Linked DNA regions of Schizosaccharomyces pombe. The protein of the gene in region 2 binds, or shares a complex with, the protein of the main gene of each other region. Each region holds a gene or a part of one and is shown on either strand. Other genes may lie near its edges. The genes, in order: rad15 and ssl1.

The links.
Region 1: ssl1 (region 2) and rad15 share a complex: the UniProt entries of both Schizosaccharomyces pombe proteins name them as parts of the 7-subunit TFIIH core complex.

The regions. Positions count from the first base shown.
Region 1 is NC_003424.3:662,775-668,404, forward strand, and holds rad15 (transcription factor TFIIH complex subunit Rad15 ), read left to right. Parts: upstream 1-1,573; 5' UTR 1,574-2,007; coding exon 2,008-4,326; 3' UTR 4,327-4,873; downstream 4,874-5,630. Other genes in the region: MAP kinase kinase Byr1, read left to right, coding at 5,379-5,630. UniProt on the Schizosaccharomyces pombe protein: ATP-dependent 5'-3' DNA helicase, component of the general transcription and DNA repair factor IIH (TFIIH) core complex, which is involved in general and transcription-coupled nucleotide excision repair (NER) of damaged DNA and, when complexed to TFIIK, in RNA transcription by RNA polymerase II.
Region 2 is NC_003421.2:382,466-386,683, reverse strand, and holds ssl1 (transcription factor TFIIH complex subunit Ssl1), read right to left. Parts: upstream 2,494-4,218; 5' UTR 2,212-2,493; coding exon 1,994-2,211; exon of another isoform or gene 1,864-1,993; coding exon 816-1,863; 3' UTR 637-815; downstream 1-636. Other genes in the region: meiotic pumilio family RNA-binding protein Mpf2, read left to right, coding at 1-560; SPOM_SPCC1682.06 (uncharacterized protein), read right to left, coding at 3,546-3,871, 3,917-4,218. UniProt on the Schizosaccharomyces pombe protein: Component of the general transcription and DNA repair factor IIH (TFIIH) core complex, which is involved in general and transcription-coupled nucleotide excision repair (NER) of damaged DNA and, when complexed to TFIIK, in RNA transcription by RNA polymerase II.

The DNA.
Region 1 (5,630 bases), on a different chromosome or scaffold from region 2:
TGCTGCATTTTTTTGCATGTTACGGGATGTAAGGAAATAATCTCAAACCAGTCATCCTTACTTTGGTTTCCTACATTTAATGAGCCATGCCATCTATCCTCTATTTCAATACCTTCCTTCCCATTTTTTTCTGCTAAATCGATATGTTGTTTTTTAAATACTCTTTGTTATTAGTACTATATATGCACTATTGATTTTGCTAGCAATGTATTGTATTATTTGTATGTTTTGTAGAAAATAACCTACTCGCCAACCCAAAAATACCAGTTGTTTCCGACAGCGTCATTTATTCATCACACTTTTCCGAAAATCGGCTTTACAAGTCCCGAGTAAAAGTGAATCAAGAAACAGCTACCATGAATTTGATCAACGATTTTGAGTAACCACAGAAAAACTCAGTATGGCCCATTACGGTTGGAATGGGTCGTTGTTATGAATGCCATTTTCTTGTTACCGAGCGGCAAACTCCAACAGTATATTGTTTTGTAGCATCGCTAATGAATGATTCGTTAAGTTTGTTTTCGTGGAATTTCATGCTCTTCTTTTATACCCGAAAGCCGGATACTCGTCGATATACTAGATGTGTAGTGAGTTAATTAATTAGCCAGAAATTAGTGAATGGGAGAGATTTTTAAAATATCAAGATTGATCATTACTAATCATCTTTCATCTTTCACAATACTTGTCATCGATGATTGATAGAGATTGCCAAGAGACATTAGGTAAAATAAAACGTAACAGTTTTGACGATCTGCTGATTTGCTTGATGTCAACCTTGGGTATGTTTTCATTAAACATGATTGCTGATGGGTTTCATAATTCGTGAAAAATTGATAAAGCACTTTTCCTTATCATCTACACATAAGTGAACAGGCAAATCAATCCGTATTGTCTCCTCAACATACGGAATGTCATTAAAACCGGTAAACTGTACTAACCGGTGATTACGGGATAATAAAAAACCACTTCATTCATTTCAAAAACTGTTGATATAGTATTCTGTATGATTTCAAGAAGATAACTCTTCGGTGACTTGCTGTTTATTGCTCACCTGGCGATTCTAATTCCTTTTATTTTTTATCCTGATACGTATGTATTTGTTTTTCCCTCTTTAGAATAATATTCATTAAGCTTGAATAAGCGGTTATTAGTTTGCAAATGATTCAGCAGCTATATGTGAGTTTGCCCTTTTTCACTTGTCTACAGAGTCGGGAATTGACTTGTAAAACAAAATAAATGGAATATTGCAAATGTATTCTTTTTGCCTTGTGTTTATTTAGGAGTAGTATTGCGGAAACTTGTTTTCAGAAAACAAAGTAGCGCTTATGCTCGGTAACTACGAAAATACGAATTTTTTTTCCAATAAACTAGTATTTATTAAGCAATTGCATCTTCCATTAACCATGTCATTTCCATCAATGTATAGTTGTATGTACACCATGTATTTACGAATATTATCCAATTTAACGTACTTTACAGTATTTTGCTTATAAATGTTTACCGTACCAACTCAGCGTTCTTCATAATCCAGTTCTATATGCACTACAAATATAAAGCAGCCACTGTTAATTTCAGGACTCATTCTTTAAGCTTGGATCGACAAGTAGTTTCTCCTGAGATTCTCACTGTAAAGTAGCTCACTTAAACCTTAGGTCAGAATTATTTCTTGGTTCGTTTTGTTTTACCCTCTTCCATCCCATGTTTATTTATTTATCTTTGTGAACTTATTCATATTTGTGTATCAGTGATTGACGACTAAATATTGAACCAAAGCAGAACCTACCTCATTCTTATAATACCCATAAAAATTTATTTCTCGCTTTATTCATTTCATTTTTATGAAGCGATTGTTAAGCGATCTTTACCCACTATTATTCATCAATGCTAGTTCATAATTCTTTTGTTTCAACTTTTTATCTTATTATTTAATTCCTAAATTTTTTTTTGGTCCAATAGGCTGTCATATACTCAAATTAATTTCCTCAAAGTCAACGGATTACACCCATAATGAAGTTCTATATTGACGATCTACCTATTCTGTTTCCTTATCCACGCATCTATCCCGAGCAGTATCAGTATATGTGTGATTTGAAACATTCTTTGGATGCGGGAGGCATTGCGCTCTTAGAAATGCCTTCGGGTACTGGAAAGACCATTTCTCTTTTGTCCCTTATTGTTTCATATCAACAACATTATCCTGAGCATCGCAAGCTCATCTATTGTTCACGTACCATGTCGGAAATTGATAAAGCATTAGCTGAATTGAAGCGTTTAATGGCGTATCGGACTTCACAGTTAGGATATGAAGAACCATTTTTGGGTCTCGGACTAACCAGTCGCAAAAATTTATGTTTACACCCTTCTGTTCGTCGTGAAAAAAATGGGAATGTGGTAGATGCCCGTTGTCGCTCACTTACGGCGGGTTTTGTGCGGGAGCAAAGATTGGCTGGTATGGATGTTCCTACTTGTGAGTTCCACGACAATTTGGAAGATCTTGAGCCACACAGCCTTATATCTAACGGTGTTTGGACCCTTGATGATATCACAGAATACGGCGAAAAAACTACACGATGCCCCTATTTTACTGTACGTCGTATGCTACCGTTTTGTAATGTTATTATTTATTCGTATCATTATTTACTAGACCCCAAAATTGCTGAACGAGTTTCTCGAGAACTCAGTAAAGATTGCATTGTTGTTTTTGATGAAGCACACAATATTGACAATGTGTGTATTGAGTCTTTAAGTATTGATTTGACAGAATCTTCTTTGAGAAAAGCTTCGAAGAGCATTTTGTCTCTTGAGCAAAAAGTCAACGAAGTAAAACAGTCTGACTCAAAAAAACTTCAGGATGAATACCAAAAGCTTGTTCGGGGCCTTCAAGATGCTAATGCCGCAAATGACGAAGACCAGTTTATGGCGAATCCCGTTTTGCCTGAGGATGTTTTAAAGGAAGCTGTTCCTGGAAATATTCGACGAGCCGAACATTTTATTGCATTTTTGAAGCGTTTTGTAGAATATTTAAAAACAAGGATGAAAGTTTTGCACGTTATTGCTGAAACACCAACTTCTTTTTTGCAACATGTTAAAGACATTACATTTATAGACAAAAAGCCGCTTCGGTTTTGCGCTGAGCGACTCACTAGTCTTGTTCGTGCCTTACAAATTTCACTAGTTGAAGATTTTCATTCTTTGCAGCAAGTAGTAGCTTTTGCGACCCTTGTTGCTACTTATGAGCGTGGATTTATCCTAATTTTGGAACCCTTTGAAACAGAAAATGCTACAGTTCCCAATCCAATATTGCGGTTTTCCTGTCTTGACGCCTCAATAGCTATTAAACCAGTTTTCGAAAGATTTAGGTCTGTGATTATCACGAGTGGTACTTTATCCCCCCTCGATATGTACCCCAAGATGTTGCAGTTTAATACTGTTATGCAGGAATCGTATGGAATGTCACTTGCACGAAACTGTTTCCTTCCTATGGTAGTTACTCGGGGTAGCGATCAAGTAGCTATTTCTTCAAAATTTGAAGCCCGTAATGATCCTAGTGTTGTTCGCAATTACGGTAATATACTGGTTGAGTTTTCGAAAATTACACCTGATGGCTTAGTCGCATTTTTTCCAAGTTATCTCTACCTTGAAAGTATTGTTTCTAGTTGGCAAAGTATGGGTATTCTAGATGAAGTCTGGAAGTATAAGTTGATTTTGGTGGAAACACCAGATCCTCATGAAACAACTCTCGCCTTAGAGACTTACCGGGCTGCTTGCAGCAATGGCCGTGGAGCAGTATTGCTGTCAGTCGCTAGAGGAAAAGTCTCAGAAGGAGTGGATTTTGATCATCATTATGGTAGAGCAGTAATCATGTTTGGTATTCCGTATCAGTATACTGAGAGTCGTGTTTTAAAAGCACGGTTAGAATTTCTGAGGGATACGTATCAAATTCGGGAAGCAGATTTCTTAACATTTGATGCCATGCGGCATGCTGCCCAATGTTTAGGTCGCGTTTTGCGTGGAAAAGATGATCATGGAATTATGGTGTTAGCAGATAAACGATATGGTCGGTCTGATAAGCGTACAAAATTACCTAAATGGATTCAACAGTATATAACCGAAGGCGCTACAAATTTAAGCACTGATATGTCCCTCGCTTTGGCGAAAAAATTTTTACGAACTATGGCACAGCCTTTCACTGCGTCTGATCAGGAAGGGATTTCTTGGTGGAGTCTTGATGATTTGTTGATTCATCAGAAGAAAGCATTGAAGTCTGCGGCTATAGAACAATCCAAACATGAGGATGAGATGGATATTGATGTGGTTGAAACTTAATAGAAGCCATTTGTAAAATACTTTGATTCTAATCATCTTTACTAAGGCAATCCAAAACTCATGAACACAGCGATGAAGATATTTGGAAGCGAATGGCTAACTTTTTTGTAGGTGTGGACAATGTATGTATCAACTTGTATTCGAGAGTTGTATAGTGGACATTTCAATCGTCATCACGATACGCATGCTACTTACGAATTGTTTTAAGATCGCAGAGCAGAGAAAAAATATTATTTACACTCAGTTGGCAATTAATTTGCGAGTCGCTAAATTCGAAGTACTTTAAAATTTTTTTAGAGACTGTGTTCAAATAAAATCGGTTTCAGTTGTTGTAATGCTTCTTAAATTTTCCATCCCATCAATAACAATCCAGCGTTTCAAAGAGTGATTATTGGCAATTTCATGCTGCTATGGAAATTAAGCTTACATTAAGCGAGCTAGTTAAAATACGTGATGCAGTAATTGTAAGCCTAGTTATATAAACAAAACATCTGTTTATCATTTAGATACATAAAACAAAAGTTTACATATTCATAATATATTCTCATAATCTAAAAAATTTCCTTGATAGTTTTATGTCGATAAAATTAGTCTCCCATACTTAGTTCTAAATAAATGAACGTTTTGGGGTTGTACAACTGATTCATTGCTGTATTCTATGTAATATATAAATTTCTTGAAAATAAAAAATCTTTTGGTTTTACGGATTCACGGTTGGCTTATACGTAATTGCCAAGCACATATAAGATCAATGATGGTTTCTTTACCAAACTACTGTATAAAAAAATTACTCTAGCACAAAAAGGATACCGCTTTCAGGAATTCTTAAATATAGAAAAAAAAATAAGTGTAGCTTATTGCAAGGGTTGTCTCTAGTCACGTTGGGGTAGTCAGAATCCTGTCATAACTACTGCTTTGTATCTTTGATTAGCAAAGTAACTTATTGAATACAGTCAGCTGTCAAATTACAGAAAAAGAAGCAACTTTAATAGTATCTTAAATGATATAATCTTCGATACAGGTTTCTTTGAGAATTTGGCCAATAGCTAGAAATGTTTAAACGACGTCGAAATCCAAAAGGTCTTGTGTTGAATCCTAACGCCTCTGTTAAAAGCTCTGATAATGATCATAAGGAAGAGTTAATTAACAATCAAAAAAGCTTTGAATCCAATGTCGAAGCATTTATGGAGCAATGTGCGCATATGAATCGACGCCCAGCTTGGATATCTGATTTGGACAATAGCAGTTTGGAAGTAGTGAGGCATTTGGGAGAGGGAAATGGTGGGGCTGTTTCATTGGTAAAG
Region 2 (4,218 bases):
CAGTCGGGGAAAATGGAAGTCTCGTAGTCCAAAATATGTTTGAGAACTGTGTAGAGAAAGATAAGCGTGAATGCATTGAGGAAATCATTTTTCATTTAGACGGTATTGCACGTGGTCAATGGGGAAACTGGGTGGTGCAACACATGGTAGAAAACGGACAAGGAGAGGATTTGAAAAGAGTCATTGATGCATTATTGAATCGTGCAGTGGAATTTAGTATTGACCAATTTGCCTCTAAGGTCATTGAAAAAGCAATTAAGTCTGGCCCAAAAAATTTCATTTCCTTATATCTAAAACAAATTACAAACGCGAGAGTTGACCGAACAAGGCAGCCTTTAATCGATATTGCATCTGATCAGTATGGCAACTATTTAATTCAGCAAATAATTCAACTTGGTCAACCAGCTGAGAAAAACCTTGTCATTACGCATATAAAAAAGCACATGGTTTCTCTTCGGGGAAGCAAGTACGGTCAGAAGGTTGCTTATTTAGTCGAGAAATGGAATTCTCAAAAACAGGTTTCCTCTGTAATCAACTACAACTGCAATACTGACCTCTGATCTGTAAATATAGGGATATATTCATTTCCACATTTTAATTAGTTTTTATTTTATATATGATACAGCTCTAACACTTACTGAAGCATCAATAGATCAAATTTTCACTATCTTCCGGATAAGGTAGTTAAGCAACGATCTCTTTAAATAAGTAAATTGAAATATATATCTCTTTACATATTTGTGAATAAGTAGCATAATAGTATTTTAAAATAATTATTATAAATAAATGCGTTCATTAATATACCAAAAGAAACTTTAATTTCCGGAGCATTGGCATCCATAACACTCATGAAGTTGTTCATGCGCAAAAACATCGCAATCCAAACAAAAATGATTTTTACACGAGGGACATGCATACCGCATCGATGAAGTAGATTCGTCAAACGGTGAAACCGGCGGCTTCGGAAAAGGTAACTGACACGCAAAGCAATGAGTGGACTTTGGATTTGCGGACCAAGGAATTTCGCTCCAGTTTTTCAATGGAAACAAATGATGATAAGATCGAGCAAGATGTGTTGAAAGGATTAGAACGAGAGAACAACTAGGGCATTCGATCGGTAAAGTACAAACTTTTGCTTTACAACGAGGACAATGAAACCCACCACGAGACGGAATTGAATGGCAAGCACAAAGACTTGGCAATTGCTCAACGACCTTAGAAGGAAATCCCATCATTACCAAAGAAGCATCAGTGGTTTTAGCCGAATCAGTAGCAGGAGGTATTGTGCTTTCGAGTAGAAGTTCGCGAAAATGTTGTTCACTGATGACTACGCCGTAGGCATTTTTCGTAGATGAGTTAGTTTTATTACAAATTTCTTTACAAATGGCGACTTCAGCAGCCAAACCAACGATACGGACACGAATAGAATCATGAACCAGAGCATCAATCGTCTTGAAAATGTCGCCAGGGTCTGATGATAAGATGGAACCAAAAATGATAAGGACTTCTCTAGTGCCATGGGAAGCAATGTGTGATAAAGAAGCTCTAGCCATTTCGAGAGCATTTTGAAGAGAGAAGTTTCCACTACAATCTCGAAGAGATTTAAGCTTCTGAATATGCGATTGAGGATTCCCATGCAAATCAGTTATCCGATGAGCGATTCCATCCATTACGCCTATAATCGATAATTGGGAAATAGGATTTTGTTCAAAAAACTCAAGAACAAATTCAGAAGCATACTTTATCTGAAGGTCGAACCGCTTATGATGAAAATCACGCTCCTCCATAGAGTTGCTCAAATCTAACACCAAGACCATGTGTCTAATAATACCTCGTTGTAACGGAGTTGTATCTCTAAGAAGTCTAAATCAGATTGACAAGTTAGTATACCGTTCATCGATGCTATAAAAGACTAATATGTTTCCAAATGCCCAACATAGGCAACTAACAAACAAATGAAGAACATAAGAAAACCAATTTTGATACGCCATACCTTTTACGTTTCCCGCTTTGAATAAGCCCAGCGATAACGCCTACTAAACTACCCTCTGCGTCCTCCTGTACGATATCCCAAGAACGCTGATATTCACCTTCCCAAGTATAACCCTCATTATCGTCAGTTTTCCTGCTTCTTACTTTAACTCTTCCATTTTTTTGTTCATCCTCGCTTTCCGACTTGTCAGAGTCAAAACTTTTTTGGTTCTCATTCATTGAGTGTTATTTTAACCGAGCATAGGTATTATGCCAGAACGCTATTTGATAATTAGATAAATGAATATTGCACAAATTCTATTCCTTGGTTTCTACAGACTAAAGAACTCAAAGCGAATGTATTTCTTCAAGTCACGTTTTACCCAGTGAACTTTTGGTAATTTGAATAGTCGCGTCGAGTTGCTTTACATGCAATGAGCGAAAGTTCTTTCTTTTATTATTTTTAGTTTTATTTTTTTAAAAAGCAATGACTCCTGGGCATACCAGTAAAATGGTAAGACTAAGTAAGTACTAGAACAAGAGACCATTTACACGAAGACAATACGGACAAGGAGCGCAACCATTATTTGTTAAATATAATAATGAATTTCGTTATGCTGCGTTAATTCGTGTTTATCAGTCTTTGATTTGTGATATGAAATTTGTATACAACTATTTCTGTTATTTGAAAAAACTTAGGAAATTATGAAAGTAAAAGAAGAATATAAAATAAATCTGTACTCCTCATTCTTTAAGGATGAGTTATATATCGTATTTTATAAAATTATTTATGGCTCGGTTATTTGTACAAACTGCATATTGCAATATAGTAGAGACTTAGAAATTTGCAAACTGCGTAATTGCCAATATTTTATGTAAAGCTACAAGTGATATGGACATAAGAAGAATAATTACTTTTCGCTTAGGCTGAATGTTGGATGGTTTGCAGGACGAAAGAGTTCATTTAATTGATTTTCTCGAACAGAAATTGGCTACTGACTAGGAATTGCGAAATCGCATTGTTTAAGAAGTTCTCGTTCTACTCCAAGGTCGATTTTTTCGTTTTTATTTGTCTTAGAAACAAATTTCAACTTATATTTGCTGTATATACTGGTTTTTAAAACTCCAAAACTTGAGAATGATGAATGGAATCCTTATTTCGTATATATCCAACAAAAAAAAAGGTTAAATCACTACTTTGCATCTTTTGAGTAATGTCTTAATTGAACAATTTTTTAAGTCGCAAATCTTACAAAGTCACAATTAAGGATTGTATATCAATTTGGTAAAACAATAAAGAGGATGATTAATCTATAATTGACAACAGATTCATTAGTTAAATGAATTTTCCTAGCACCACAAATACACATCGTGTTTGCTCTATAACAGAGACAAAAATAGTGATGACTGTCATCGAAAATGATTAAGTGATGATGCATATAAGATAATAATACAAGGAATAGAAATAAAGGAGAAAAGTGACTTTTGCAAGAAAGTAAGAAAATTAGTGATGAAATAAAAAAAACCCTCGCAACTGTTGGCAGCCCCTTGATTTTTTTCTCTAGCCATGACTTTTAGTTGCTGCCCGATTCTACATCTTTAGAAGTGTTGCAATCGGTTTCCTCAGCCATTGTATTGTCACTTGCTGGCTCTGTGGTAATTGCTTGGCCTCGCATAGACGACATTTCAACGTCGCCAGTCTCTTCATCTTGTTCTATTACTTCGAGCCCGAGAATAAACAACAGTAAGGATAAAATAATATGAGCCAAACCTTGAATTGCTTTAGCTACATATTTAGCTAGGCCTGCAATCGCTTTAGCTAGACCTTCATTCGCTTTAGCTACAGACGGTGCATAAACATAAGCTTCTTCAAACGCTAATTTAATTAACGAAAATGAAACTAGAAAATCGTTAGTCATGAATTCAAATCATCTCAAAAACTTACAATAAACAATAATCACTGTCATCACGTATGTAAATATTAACACTATAGTTTCAATAACATATTTAACCACAGAATTAAGATCCGCCAATGCCTGATCGAAATAATTATAAAAATTATGATAAAGCAATAAAGTAAGAATGAAAGGAAGGAAGATATGAAATATCGCATATCTAGCTTGTGTAAGTCGCACATTTTCCGAACGCTTTCTTAATCTAGCAGGTGCAGCCATTGTATTTTTTTTTCGTAACGATGGTTGTGTTAATGTTGAGTTTTGTTTGACAATTGGATTGTTTACATGATTA